4 linked regions of the Drosophila melanogaster genome follow. The protein of the gene in region 3 interacts with the protein of the main gene of each other region in a pairwise test. Each region holds a gene or a part of one and is shown on either strand. Other genes may lie near its edges.

Evidence for each region.
Region 1: the proteins of CG30355 (region 3) and CG12506 interact in a two-hybrid assay, tested with the Drosophila melanogaster proteins (one large-scale study listed by BioGRID).
Region 2: the proteins of CG30355 (region 3) and acs interact in a two-hybrid assay, tested with the Drosophila melanogaster proteins (one large-scale study listed by BioGRID).
Region 4: the proteins of CG30355 (region 3) and CG2611 interact in a two-hybrid assay, tested with the Drosophila melanogaster proteins (one large-scale study listed by BioGRID).

Annotation. Positions count from the first base shown.
Region 1 is NT_033779.5:771,493-774,537, forward strand, and holds CG12506 (uncharacterized protein), read left to right. Parts: upstream 1-2,054; 5' UTR 2,055-2,102; coding exon 2,103-2,426; 3' UTR 2,427-2,525; downstream 2,526-3,045.
Region 2 is NT_037436.4:1,969,945-1,974,830, reverse strand, and holds acs (arcus), read right to left. Parts: upstream 3,194-4,886; 5' UTR 3,015-3,193; coding exon 3,010-3,014; intron 2,758-3,009; coding exon 2,632-2,757; intron 2,569-2,631; coding exon 2,418-2,568; intron 2,355-2,417; coding exon 2,233-2,354; intron 1,794-2,232; coding exon 1,567-1,793; intron 1,493-1,566; coding exon 1,362-1,492; intron 1,296-1,361; coding exon 1,117-1,295; intron 1,060-1,116; coding exon 887-1,059; intron 831-886; coding exon 589-830; 3' UTR 546-588; downstream 1-545. Other genes in the region: CG11815 (uncharacterized protein), read left to right, coding at 3,701-4,552. UniProt on the Drosophila melanogaster protein: Amino acid transporter which has pH-dependent electrogenic transport activity for alanine, glycine and proline. Plays a role in positive regulation of growth by directly or indirectly modulating the effects of the TOR signaling pathway.
Region 3 is NT_033778.4:8,678,636-8,681,656, forward strand, and holds CG30355 (uncharacterized protein), read right to left. Parts: upstream 1,319-3,021; 5' UTR 1,194-1,318; coding exon 859-1,193; intron 802-858; coding exon 576-801; 3' UTR 511-575; downstream 1-510. Other genes in the region: Acsl (Acyl-CoA synthetase long-chain), read left to right, coding at 1-233, 293-499, 1,377-1,851, 1,914-2,086, 2,150-2,413, 2,475-2,750, 2,816-2,970.
Region 4 is NT_033779.5:20,648,324-20,651,429, reverse strand, and holds CG2611 (uncharacterized protein), read right to left. Parts: upstream 1,242-3,106; 5' UTR 1,180-1,241; coding exon 970-1,179; intron 894-969; coding exon 705-893; 3' UTR 532-704; downstream 1-531. Other genes in the region: brun (brunelleschi), read left to right, coding at 1-140; CG18810 (uncharacterized protein), read right to left, coding at 1,491-2,393.

The sequences.
Region 1 (3,045 bases), on a different chromosome or scaffold from region 3:
TGATCTCAATCGTTTTGCGAACAACGTATGTCTTAAAATCAGCTTCTTTTAGCCTGCGACGAATTGTAGAACTACTAACTTGTTTGCCAATTGTATTTTTTGATTCTAAGGCAATTTTTACCGGACTGGCACTAGGATTCTTCGCCACAACTCCAAGTATTTGCCTGCATTGCCTTTGGTCCAGCACAGGTTTTCGGCCTGATCTTTTTTTATTTTTTAATGTGCCAACTGTATCAAACTTTTTTATTAAGTAGTAGACAGTTCTACGCGAAATTTGATATATTTCAGCTATTTTGGCCGCAGGTGTACCGGCTTTAAACCTAGCAACAATACCAGCCCGGGCCTCAACTGTTAACTCTTTTGTTTTGGGCATTTTATTTAATAACTGTAATAGGAAAATGATTAAATCTAATTTTTATTCAATAATTTAAATGTATTTAAGCAAACAAACCGGCACTTGTCACTCTAAACCAATCACTGAAGAAGAAATTGCGTTGTGAAAATAATTGTGATGCGACGAAACCGTGTGCAAATACTTCTGACAACTGATAAAGATCTCTTCATTTGCCTCTTCCTTGCGCATAGGAACAGTTATTTTTTCAATTCTTCTTTCATCTGACTCTGCATAGGTTTGAATTTGCAAAAGCAAAAGTTTTTTTGCATTTCACCTCCCCCCACTTGCTGCACAAGCAACTGTTTGTGACCCATGCACAAAAATGCACTTTGTGAAAATAATTTTGACCATGACTGTATGTTACACATGCCGCAAAGGCGGTCTTGTCTTGCTGGTCCTGGCCAAAATACAATTTGGCCCAGCTAAGAGGCTTCGACGACCTCGGCTTTAATATGGCGAACTGGACGGGGAGCCGTGCAGTCTGTCTGCCCGAGTTTAATCGCATTTAGCTCATTTAGCGGCAAATTGAATTTGCCAACGTCACGGCCCTCAACAAAACCCCTGAATAGGCCACGCCGAAAATGAGAAATTCAATTAAAATCAAATTTTTTCAACATCAGCCGCCCAGAGACGTCTTTAAACGGATTTTCAGTTACAATTTCGACGCTTTAACTCCGCAAAAACACACACAAAATCGAAGCCAGGATAAATAGGCAGGAATAATTGAGCGGCTGCTGGTGCCGTCGGGGCATCATTCCATCATTTCCCAATCCCAGGCCCTACCCATCGCAACCCCAGCCCCGCCCACTCACGCCCCTTCTGGGAAAAAAACACGAGATAATCGCCTCAGTTTCCATTGCGGCCCACAAAATTTTTATGCGTGGCAACATTTTTTGCGCTTGGCTTCAGTTTCGCACAGGCCAGTGCTCGTGATTAGCTTTGGTCATGGATGGACTCGTCATGGTTGTCGGAGAGGGATGTGGGAGCTCCTGGCGGTAGATGGAGCAGAAGAAAAAGGCTTTGGCCCAGTGAGTAGCGCGATAATTAGGACTCAAAATCCTAGTCCCGAAGATGATTTATGACGCCAGCGCTGCTGGAGTTCATTGCTGGCTAATTTATTACGCTCTCGCCGTGAGGGATCAACTGTTTCTTCTTAGCTCCACCGCCCACGTGCTCCTCAAAGTCAATATTTTCTTGATGTGTAACTAAAATATAATTGAGTGGCTACTGAGCTCGGCTCCATGTTGTCTTCAAAACTTACCTGAAAGGATTTTAAATTGAGCTTGCCAAAAAATTACTTTGCTTGAATTATTACCAATATTTATAATTTAAACTTGTAAATATGCAAACAGATCAAGACGCTGAGCGCAAATAGTAAATAAATGGAAACTAAAGTAGTAAATCAAAAACAGAACTAGAAATGAAAATCTAGAAGCTAAAGCAGCTGCTTCTAATGCAAAGACGATAAATGAATGAGTCAATGCTAAACATTTGTACTTTTTCAAGAACAAATTGTGCTTCGGTTTTTTCCATTTACCTCATACGTTTCTTTGATATGATTTCTGTGACGTAACCGGGCAGCAGCTGTTTTTGAGGGGACTTCTGTGGGAAAATATGAAGTCTTAGAGAATATAAAAAGGCTTAGGCTTTTGGAAAAAGCATCACAACCTGAATTTCCACTAAGCAAAGCCGAACTGCCAGAGAGAAAATGCGTTCCTTCATTCTGATTGCCCTCTTCGCCCTGATTGCCCTGGCTGCTGCTCAAGGCGGACCACAAGGTGGACAGCAGGGTGGGCAAGGAGGATCTCAAAATGGTCAGCAAGGAGGCCAGCAGGGAGGCTCCCAGGAAGGATCCCAGGAAGGATCCCAGGAAGGACAACAGGGAGGTCAGCAGGGAGGTCAGCAGCAGGGTGGTCCTGGCGGTCCATGGGGTCTGCCTCCGAATGGAACTGAACTCTCCAACAGTACCACAACTTCGACCACTGAGGCTACCAGCACTGAATCCAGCAGCACAGAGGTTTCCTCTTCGTAACTTATAGATTGATCCTAATGAAAGCGAACAGGCTTGCTCAGTTCCTTACCATTCCCTTTATCAATACAAGTTCTTGAAATAAATTGATATCAGTACTCTAATGTGTTGTAGCTAAATTCGGTTAAAATCCGCTTTTAAGCGTCATGGAGTCATTAAAGCTAATGCCTGCAAATCGTTTAATTAAGCCTGTGCTCATATGACAAAAAATGCTGGGAATTATTCTGAAGCAGCAATTGACGCCAAAAAGTGTGCAACACTTTTGTGCTGCTGCTAAAAACCACTTTCGAGCAAATCCCAGGAATGCAACCTCCTTTCCCCGAGCATCCCGCAAAATTGCCACTAAAAGAGTTCCCCCCTCCCCGCACCGAAATCAGCGACAAACAGCAGTTGCAAACGGCAGTGGGAAAAGTGTAGGGGAAAACGCATATGCGGTGGCTCATGAAATGCAGTACAAAGTCGTCTTCCTCATCCACTCGCTGCTCAGCGAAGCGGCCACTTTTAGTGCACTGGAGTGTTTGGTCGCAGAGGGGGTGGCTTTTTAGGGGGCGGAACTGGCTGGGCGGTGGTCGGTGGGTGGAAGGCCATCAGTCGTGGACCGGCGAAGTGATCAATTGATTTG
Region 2 (4,886 bases), on a different chromosome or scaffold from region 3:
GGCTTCTCTCTGGCTTCTTAGGGCCGGCGGTCATTGCGGCTCAGTCCGGCACTCTGTGGCCTTCATGCCAGCAGAAGACAGCCAAAGAGGTCCTGCCGTAGAAGGGGGGGATTGTTGTCGACGGGGGGAGGGGAGAGGACAGGACGCAGGATGCAGGATGCAGGAAAGCGTTGTCAGTAACCTGTGAGCAAAACATTGTAAATAAAATGCAGCTGGATTGCGAAGGAAGGAGGTTGTGGAGTTCTGTGTCTGGCTTGCTGACCTGCGGCGCTTTTGTGTTAATTGCGGTTGCATTTAATTACAGTTCGTTGCAACTGGCCAGCTTTCCCGACTGCACTGCGTTTTAACCACCTCCACCCCCCGCACATTTTCCACCAAACCGAGCCAAGACCTGAGCTAAGCTTTTAATTAAAATTAAAAATATTTGGTCTACTTTGGCAGCATGACTTTGGCATGTGTTCGACTATGCAGGCCATAAGCCAACATTGTTTACTGCGTGTGTGTATTGGCCAATTGCAATAAATCTTCTAGCCACATCATCAAATGTAAATTAAGGTCGAGTTTATTGAACCACAACGAATTCGAAGTTTACTTGTACACCGCAATGATGTCCAAAATGCTAACATAGGTGCCCACCACTCCGCCAAAGATGCCAAAGCACAAAAGCAGCAGATTGATGATCAACTTTATCCGGAATGGTCCATAGCCCTCGGTGTACTGGACGCAGATCTGGAGTAGCACGGGGAAGATGAGGCCCAGGATCGAAAGGCAAAAGGAGCCAACCAGGGAGAGGAAGACCGATAGATCCGGAATGGCAACCGCGCAGCCAACTAAAAATATATAAACATATTAAAACTAGTATTTCATCAAATGTTTCTTTCCTTACAAGTGAGCAGCACGATTATGGCTCTGAAAATCAGTTCATAGAATGTCTGCCTGGTTTCCTTGAAGCGCTTGGCCAAGTATTTATCCCACAGGATGTGGGCAGTCACATAGCCCTGCAAGGCATATGAGATCCAAGTGGTGATGGCAAAGAATACCTTTACCACCTGAGCGGGTCTAAAAGGCGGAATTCAACATTAAGTGGCTAACACTTAAATAGCATTGAGAACTCACATTTCAGACTGCGGAATATTCAGTGTAATACTGCCCTCCGACTCATTGCCATATTTCCAGTAGCCAAAGAATCCGAGCAGAACATACAAGCCCAGCACTATGGACATGCCACTATTCAAAATGCCACAGGGGCCCACAAAGGATTTGGGCGTGGCCATATTCTCCTCAATTGCCAGGATCTTTTCAAAGAAGATAAATGATTAAATTGCATTATATATGATATGTTTATTATTTTTAAGACTTACCACTCCCACTGCTTCCAGAGCAAAGAGCACTGTGCCAAAGAAGGTGGGCAACTTTCCGGCGGCCACAAAAGGATCTCGTTCACTTAGGGGTGGTAGCTCCTCAAAGATGTAGTACAAAATGATGCCGAAACCTAGTTAAAAATTAAAAAGTGGAACTTAATGACTTCTTTTTAGAAAAAGTATGCAAATTAAACAAAAAACTTACCCACTAGAAGCAAAAGATTTGCTGCACTGGAAAAAGGCGCGAGTAGCTTTAAATTCTTTATGCTATATATCAGCAGGAGTGGCACAATGATGATGCACATGTGTATTCGCACATCCCAGACCACCAGATACTCATCCACCAGCTGCTTTATGCTTTCCGCTATGAAAACCACGTAGACGCAACAGATGCCGAAGTGGTAAAAGGCCAGGAAGCCATCTACAAAGGGACTGATGAAAAATAACACTATAAAATATGATTTACATACAATATATAAAACATAAAACAAGTAAGTATGCCTCATGCCTAAGTTAAATGCTAAAGCCACTAGGAAACAAATTTCACAATAGGTACTCAACACTTGGCTAAAATGTAAATTGGTAAACCTTCCGCAACTTAAGCAAGTAATTGAATAAAAAAAACCCTCAAGATATTATTGATAAGCGATGTAAACCAATTACTAAACAAACTATTGGGATGTGCCCCCATATTTTAGGGTGCTATTGTAAAGATAAAGATACAATAAATCGTAGTGAAAATCTATTGATCAACAACAAGATAAGATTTTCATTACCCAATTGAGTAATCATTAAAAAGCACTTAGAAAGTTAATCAATATATAGAGGGAAGTTATAGATAGCAGTTGTTTTGCCGAGTTACTTCACTTACACGGCAATGGGTGCCAAACAACGCAGCCAGGGTGGACCTTGTTTGAGTCCCAGATTCATGGCCTGCGAAAAGCTGACGTAGGGAACCCGCTGCCGCTTGCACAGTATGTACATGCATTTGATCTGTAAATCAAGTATATATAAGTAAGTAAGGAAATTTCTATGTGACTCCCACCAAAAACCCACCAAAATGTGCAGGCAGTAGAGGGCCAGCGATCCAATGATCAGCGTGAGAAGGGTGCCATTCACATATCCTGCGTGTGCGAAGGCACTGGGCATGGCCAGGACGCCAGTGCCCACGGAAGCCTTCAGGAAGTGGGCGAATGTCTGAAAGTTTCTGGGGAAAGTGGGGCCTGAAAATGATTCTCTGAGCTCAGCACTGTTGAAAATCTATGCTTACGTAGTGGGATTCTTCAGCTCGCGGTGCTGATGAGGATCGTAATCATCGTTACTGCCATTCGCTGATTTTGTTGGGGTCGTTAATTCCAGTGTGGTTGGGTAAACCGTCACGGTTTTTATATCGTCGCTGTTGGGGGAGCAATTAAAAGTTGTTTTTGAGGTGAATTGATTGATTGATAAATGGGTTCGGGTCGTTAAACAATAAGCGCCAAGGAGGTTCCTCGAGAAAAGATGTTGGTTCAAAATTAAAGGTCGTAAAAATATACAATTTCTTAACCGGGATTTGGTTGAGGCTAATGTTTTGTCATTTATTGTGTTTGCGCATCAGTTAGCTTATTTTTTACGATCTCGAAACCAGAAGAATACGAAGACTACTCACTTCATAGCGATAAAGTAGCGACCGAGTATTTGATAAAGCTACTTGAGCTCGCGGGCGTATAAATCTTTTATCACACGCAATTAAGTCGCCAAAGAGACAAAGATCGTTTCGTGATTGCGAATTCCCGGCCCAACCAGATTTCTTGGGGACTCAACCGAGTGCCTGGCCCACCGGACGGATACTAAATTTCGGATCCCGGTCGAAGCCGCTCAACACCTCTCGTTCGTAAACCGTGCTGATAATCTTGGAAAGATAATTGCACGATAATCAGCCGTATCAGAAGACTTCGCGGGGAACGTGGGAAACCGGAGTGCAGCAATCCGAAATGTATGCCAAAATATTATGTGCACTCTTAAGTGGAAATAATAAAACCAGAATGAAGGCCTTAACCAGTTTGCTGATCGGTTTGAACCTCCCGAAAAGTTCATCGACAATCATCAAACTCTTTATACCTAATATATTATGGCAAAAGCTTGGACATCATTGAATTCAACATTTCTAGTTAGTCGATACTTCCACACAAAGCTTACATTTTACTTTACAGAATAAAGCTTTAGGATATCAGGGCGTATACGTGATGTAGAGATGTATATTTTCAATTTTACACAGTAACCTCTGAAAATGACATCTCCTGTTTTGAGCAACAGTAAAATTTAAAAACATTTACTTTAAAACAAAAGTGCTCCCGAAAATGTCTAAGAATCCACTTCGATTGTTCATAAAACCTGTAATTCTTCGCCGCCTGTCTGATAAGCCCAAGTTGAGCAACAAGCCATCGAACACCCCTCGCCCACCAAAGGATCCACCGGATGAGGGCTACCAACCGACCAGTGTCGATCACAATGGGATCGATGTGCCGCCGTTTGTGAGACCCTCTTCCTTCCGCCAGTTCAGTGGACCGGATGAGAAGCTGGGACCAGGAGCAGGCAAAGCGCTGCCCTACAAGAACCCAACTTACTTTGGCTATCATCGATTCTCATTTATGGAACTCACGGTCACGGCTGTGGAGTTACGAGACGAACGTCGATTGGACGGAGGACTACAGGCATCCATCGAAGCCGACGAAGAATCCGAGTGTGGCGAGGCCCAACTGGAGACCATGAAGAAGCTGGAAAGCGAGTGCGATGCGATACTCTCCAACCAAGCCAAGAAAATCCAGAAGGCCAAATCTTCGGCCGAGGAGAAGTGTCTCCAGGAGATGAGTGAGGAGGAGCTAAAGGAGTGGTGCAAGAAAAAGGAGGAGGACATCAAAAAGAAGGAGCAGGAAAAGAAGGAGGCCAAGTCCTCGCCCAAGGAGAAGAAAATCCAGGACATGAGCGAGGAGGAACTGAAGGCTTGGTGCCAGAAAAAGGAAGAGGACATCAAAAAGAAGGAGCAGGAAAAGAAGGAGGCCAAGTCCTCGCCCAAGGAGAAGAAAGTCCAGGACATGAGCGAGGATGAACTGAAAGCTTGGTGCCAAAAGAAGGAAGAAGACATCAAAAAGAAGGAGCAACAAAAGAAGGAGGAAGGAAAGTGTGAAGGCGATGACAACAAAAAGGATTAAATAAAGCAGACTGCGTTACTCTTGAAAAATGAACAATATTGTTCAAAAATGTACGTTATTTGGTAGCTTAATAAATGAATTGTAGTTTAATTCCAGTATTTTTAGTGTGTTGAGCTTTGAAAAAGCTCTTTCGAAAACTGGTATATACTGGTGGCATATTAGCGGTCACACCATCCGATTTTCTCTCCCAACGAATTGAAATCAGTTGTTCGGTGTGCGTGTGTGGAAAAAGTTCGAGTTCGCCGAGAGAAGCGTGAAAATCCGATATCGAAACTACGTTTTTTTTTTAGTCATTATACCGATTGGCTATGCAAATTTAATTGCGGATCTCCCA
Region 3 (3,021 bases):
CTTCAAGAAGTACAACCTCGGTGACTACAAGTGGAAGACGTTCACCGAGGCGGAGCGCACGGCGGCTAATTTCGGGCGCGGTCTGCGAGAACTTGGCCAGAAACCACGCGAGAACATTGTCATCTTTGCCGAAACGCGAGCCGAATGGATGATAGCTGCCCACGGATGCTTTAAGCAGGCTATGCCCATTGTCACTGTCTATGCTACGCTGGGCGATGATGGAGTTGCTCATTGTGAGTAAATTGGCTTACCATGTGTATGGTTTTTAAATAATATTTTGCTCTGTTGCCAGGCATCACCGAAACGGAAGTCACCACGGTTATCACCTCCCATGATCTGCTGCCCAAGTTTAAGACGCTGCTCGACAAATGCCCATTGGTGAAGACTATTATCTATATTGAGGATCAGCTGCAAAAGACAGAAACCACTGGCTTCAAGGAGGGCGTCAAGATCTTGCCGTTTAACCAAGTTGTCAAGACAGGACAGGACAGTAAATTTGGTACGTTTTGAAAGGGTCTTAAAAGATGATTTATTTATGTCAATTACACGATAAATTTGCTAAAATGCATCGTGTTTCACACCGAAAATGGTGTGGGCTCGACGTGTTCACCATCGGCGTTATCCTCAGGCGCCCGAGCCGTTGCCATCGATGTGGATGCAACCGGCTTCTGCGCATCATTATCATCCACAACATTGCTCATCCTTTCGAGGTTATCAATGTCATCTCTTTCGGTTGATCTGTTTTCACTATCAGAGCCTTGTGCTAATTCTGCTTCCGGCAAGTGGTTGCAATAGCGCCATCTAATCGAGACAGAATGTGTTGATGGGTCATCCAGTGTTTTAATCTACAACTCTCACCTCATGTCAGTACTGGAAAAACCGACGGGTTGCAACAGAATCGGCTTCGTTTGTTCTACATATTCGTTCACAAGACTGGAACCAGGTCCTATGATCAAATCTTCCTCCTTAGCCTCAAGGGTAACTCCTTCGGTTATCTTTTCCTCGTCTCTTTCTTGCTTAGAGGAATATGTGCGATACGCCCGAAAGATGAGAACGCCGCAGTATACGCCAAATAGTGTAAAAAATACGGAGCAGCTTCTCGGCTTTCCTGATGTTGAGCCTAGTAAAGCATTGCATTGTTGCACACAAGTCAAGGGCGTTAGGGTGATGAATTCCTCTAGGACTTCAGCCATTTCGAATGGTGTCTGAACTAAAAAATCACCCTACACAATTTGGAAAGAGTTCTTTCTGTTTACCGAAAGTATGCGCTTTTAATTCAGCACTGAAATGTTGACAGCATATGTATAGCGTGCTATGCGCAAGGAATTTGTTAAATATTAAACTAGTACTAATTGACTTTATTTTGTATCCCACAGAGCACGTTCCACCCAAGGGAGATGACATTGCCATTATCATGTACACTTCCGGATCCACTGGCACACCTAAGGGTGTCCTCCTCTCGCACAAGAACTGCATTGCGACAATGAAGGGATTTGTTGATATGGTGCCTATCTATCCGGATGATGTACTGATCGGATTCCTGCCCCTGGCTCACGTTTTTGAATTGGTTGCGGAAAGTGTGTGTCTCATGACTGGCGTTCCAATTGGCTACTCGACCCCCTTGACTCTGATCGACACTAGCAGCAAGATCAAACGCGGGTGCAAGGGCGATGCCACCGTCCTGAAGCCCACCTGCATGACTTCGGTGCCGCTGATATTGGATCGCATTTCCAAGGGTATTAACGACAAGGTTAACTCTGGCTCGGCGTTCAAGAAATCACTCTTCAAATTCCTTTACCAGTACAAAGTCAAGTGGGTGCAGAGGGGGTACAAGACGCCGCTGATTGATAAGTAAGAACGGTGTGCTCATAAATATCATGAGTTGCTAACTAAAACTATTATTTTTCTTGCAGACTGGTGTTCAAGAAGGTGGCAAAGCTAATGGGTGGCAAAGTGCGCATTATCATGTCTGGCGGAGCGCCTCTGTCAGCAGATACACATGAGCAGATCAAGACCTGCTTGTGCTTGGAGCTGATTCAGGGCTATGGCCTTACGGAAACTACGTCTGGAGCCACTGTCATGGACTGTAAGTGATCGCAGATCGACCTTTCTTTTGAAAACAAGTAAATAACTTTATACCCAATACAAGACCGTGATATGACCTATGGACGCACTGGAGGACCATTAACTGTCTGCGACATCCGTCTAGTCAACTGGGAAGAAGGCAACTACCGCGTCACAAATAAACCTTATCCCCAGGGTGAGGTTCTCATTGGTGGCGAGTGTGTCTCCCAGGGATACTACAAGTTGCCCGGCAAGACCAACGAGGATTTCTTTGAGGAGGATGGACAGAGATGGTTTAAAACCGGCGACATTGGCGAAATACAAGCTGATGGCGTACTTAAGATTATTGGTAAGTTATTTAGCACAGTGCTTTTTCTTTCATTTTTTTTATTATAATACGCTTTTTGCAGATCGTAAGAAGGATCTGGTTAAGCTGCAGGCCGGCGAGTATGTTTCCCTTGGCAAAGTTGAATCTGAGCTTAAGACTTGCGGAATCATCGAGAACATTTGCGTATACGGAGATCCGACAAAGCAGTACACAGTGGCGCTGGTCGTTCCCAACCAAAACCATTTGGAGGAGCTGGCACAGAAACATGGCCTGGGTGATAAGTCCTTTGAGGAGCTGTGCTCATCACCGATCATAGAGAAGGCTATTCTCAAGGAAATTGCTGAGCATGCGCGGAAATGTAAGCTACGATGCAGATTTGAGTATTTTTCAAAGTTTTTAATGGCAAATTGTTTAATCTTAAAGGTAAATTGCAAAAATATGAGGTTCCCGCCGCCATCACACTTTGTAAGGAGGTCTGGTCTCCGGACATGGGGCTGGTAACCGCCGCCTTCAAGCTGAAGCGCAAGGATATCCAGGACAGATATCAGCATGATATTAACCGCATGTACGCCTCATGAAAGTCAATGTACTAAGCCAGAGGTACCAGATGCAGCAACGACAACAACACG
Region 4 (3,106 bases), on a different chromosome or scaffold from region 3:
CGTCATTGCTAACCCGCTCCTGTCCGGCAGAAGCGGAGAGTGTCGGCCAATCGGTCATGTTCTCCTCCAGCTACGATGAGCAGCAGGCGCATGTGTGGAAGTTCATTCCGCCCATCGAGGTGACCGTCGTGGAGCAGTGAAATGTTACCTGTCGCTAGTTTAATTTCGTTACAATGTTTGTGTATGTATTGTGTATACACCCCATACTAATCCCCTACTCTTGTTAAAGTATTTGATTCCCACGCGCCCTGTTATATCCGTAAACACGAAAAGCAATTGTTTGTAAAGAATTCTTACCTACATAGATACAACATGTAACGCATAACACTGTATATAATTAAGCTGAAACACAAAGTTATACTGTGCCCCAAGCTTGATAGAGAAAATGGCCATAACATAAATCATATAACCTATAGTTCATGCCTGTAAAACATATACATATTTAAGCAAGCGATGCGCTATTTAAATAGATAGCCAATGTTCCGCGCACTAGAAGCCACGCCAAGCATTATACATTTTGATAACGAAGCTCGTGTTTAAAAAATATTTTTATACAATTACCGGGGCAATACACATGTATCATAATGAACTACATATTAAGATTGTTGCTAAAGAAATTATGCCAATGAAATGTGTGAATAACTGTAGTGTAAAAGCAATAAACTCTATTTGACGAAACATTTGGTGTCTTTGGTTTCTCCTTTTCAGCCGAGTCTTCGTATCTCGTCCATGGTGAATCCGTTGCGGTTGAGCATTATGCAGAAGAGCACGTACACATAGTAGCTTCCCGGGATGAAGGTCAGTGCCCCGATGATACCCAACGCCCACACCCGATCCGATCGCTCCCGGCTCGTGTCCGTCACCCAGTTTAAGGTGGCAAAGGCGATGCAAACCTGAAGACAAAGACATCAGATCAGAAGTTCGAAGGAACTGTGCATGTATGTGTGGGCACCAGTAATCACTACTCACAATGCCACCGATAAACAGCAAAAGAATGATAATAATGGTCTTCCAAGGCACTGGACCTGGCATCGCCGGTTCCGTCCACTGTTCATTAACGAATCCATCGGTCTCGCATTGGGACTCCACCACCTTGATGTACTCTCCGGAGCCTGCTGGCGCGGAACTCCTGCCCCCTCCATTTAGGCGGTGCCGCGACTCCGAATTGGTGGGCTCCATATGTGGTCTCTACCTACTGGCAGTTGATCTTGACCAGATGCCAATTTCAGACTAAACAAACAAGCATTTTGCGGCAAGTCAATGTTATCAGGAAAACAGCTGACGAGACTGCCAACCTGGGGAAAATCAGCAAGCACAGTAGAGACCAAATAAAACGAAACATACACATATCGCATAATAACACATCCTTAAATATTTAACTTTTTAATTTGGAAAGCTTTCTTGCATGCCTGAACTAATCAAATGAATTCGAATTTTTAATTTTTCATCGCACCGGTAATTTGGAAAACACAGAGAATGCATAAAATTATTTAGCCATCCTTGATGGTTGTTTCTGAGCACCAATCTGCCACACGTTCGTTGTCGGGATCCAGATCAAATCCGTCGTGGTCCAGCTGGCTGGGAACAAATCCGGAGATCCAGGTCCACTTCATTCGCCTGCCCAAGAACGTCTTGAAGTTTCGGCGCAGTTTTCGGTCAAAAGGAATGTTTTGAAGTTCAAAATCATAGCAAAAATAGCCACGAGACCACTGATCATAAGCCACATAGGTAGCTACGCATACCCCGATCCACAGCAGGACGAATACCAGAGTGAACACCAGCTCGTATATATCGGGCAACTTAAAGTAGATTATCCTGATAATAAGCGAGTTAAAATAGGCAGAGTTCGGTGCGGGATGTGTCAGCATAAAGAGCTGGTATCTGCCCCCATGCAGAACGTAAATAAATATCGAAGATGACGTTAGTGAAATCATGCAGCTTAGAAAAAAGTAGATAAGAAAATAGAAAAAGTATCTATAGTTCTCATGACCGATGCAGCAACCAGTAAAGAAGCAGTGATGATCTCGCATCAGGACACAGACGCCACACTTCCTGCAGTGACGTGACCGGGGTGGAGCAAGAATCCCGCACTTGTCGCACTCGTGCCAGTCCTCACTGTGCTGTCCGCGCACCAACTGATTCTTCATAAGCTTGGGATCGATGCTGGGGTCCACCAGGATGCACATGACATAGTTGGACATCACATTCGAAAAGAGGAACAGTCCCAGCAGCAGCTGAAATACGTAACCAGGTGACCAATAATCCGACAACTCCGGCAGAATTATCTCCATTAGAACATAGTATATGGCGGGCAAGCCACATAAAATGAACAAAAATAGGAATTGCTCCAACTTCTCTTTTGGCCATATGTTCTTCAGCGACCGAAACCTCATTATAACGAAAGTGATTTGATCAATTTGTAAAAACTTTACTGCAGATTGCAAAACTGGTTTGGAAAAAGTATTGGTGTGACTTTGAATTAGTTATTCCAGCCTACACGATGTATCAATATTTTTTCTCCCTTTTCCCAACCGTCTCTCAAAAATATTTAAAAAATAAAACTATGGCAAGCTGCATTCTGTTTCTATAAATATAATTTTATTAGATTTTTTACGTCCACTTTTCTGGCATCATGCAAGGGAGCCCTGTAAAATAAATAAAAATTATGCATAAGTATTTAATCATTATTCAGGGGTTACTCTAAATATATATTTTTACAGACAGTTCTAAAGATTTCCTAAAAAAAATATGTGCAAAATTATTTTTCTTTACTTTTGTTTACGGATCATTTTCATAGATTTAATAAATACAAACAAAATTCATGTTGTTTTAAAGAATACCCTTAGTTTCGTTTTTGTATTTGGTATTTTGTTTCCTAGACAATAGCTTAAGACTTGGCCTCAAATACTCCCATATTTATATATACGTACACATAACACTTTAAACTTACAAGTGTGGAAATCCTTCTTACGTAGGGTTTCTGTCAGAGAAATTCGGGTTTCAGCATTATCTAAAAAGAAAGAGTTATTGTAGTGTTGTTGAACATAAAATCACGCAAGCTAACAATATTTTAAAAATCAGATCTACTATCGAGATAAATCAGTCA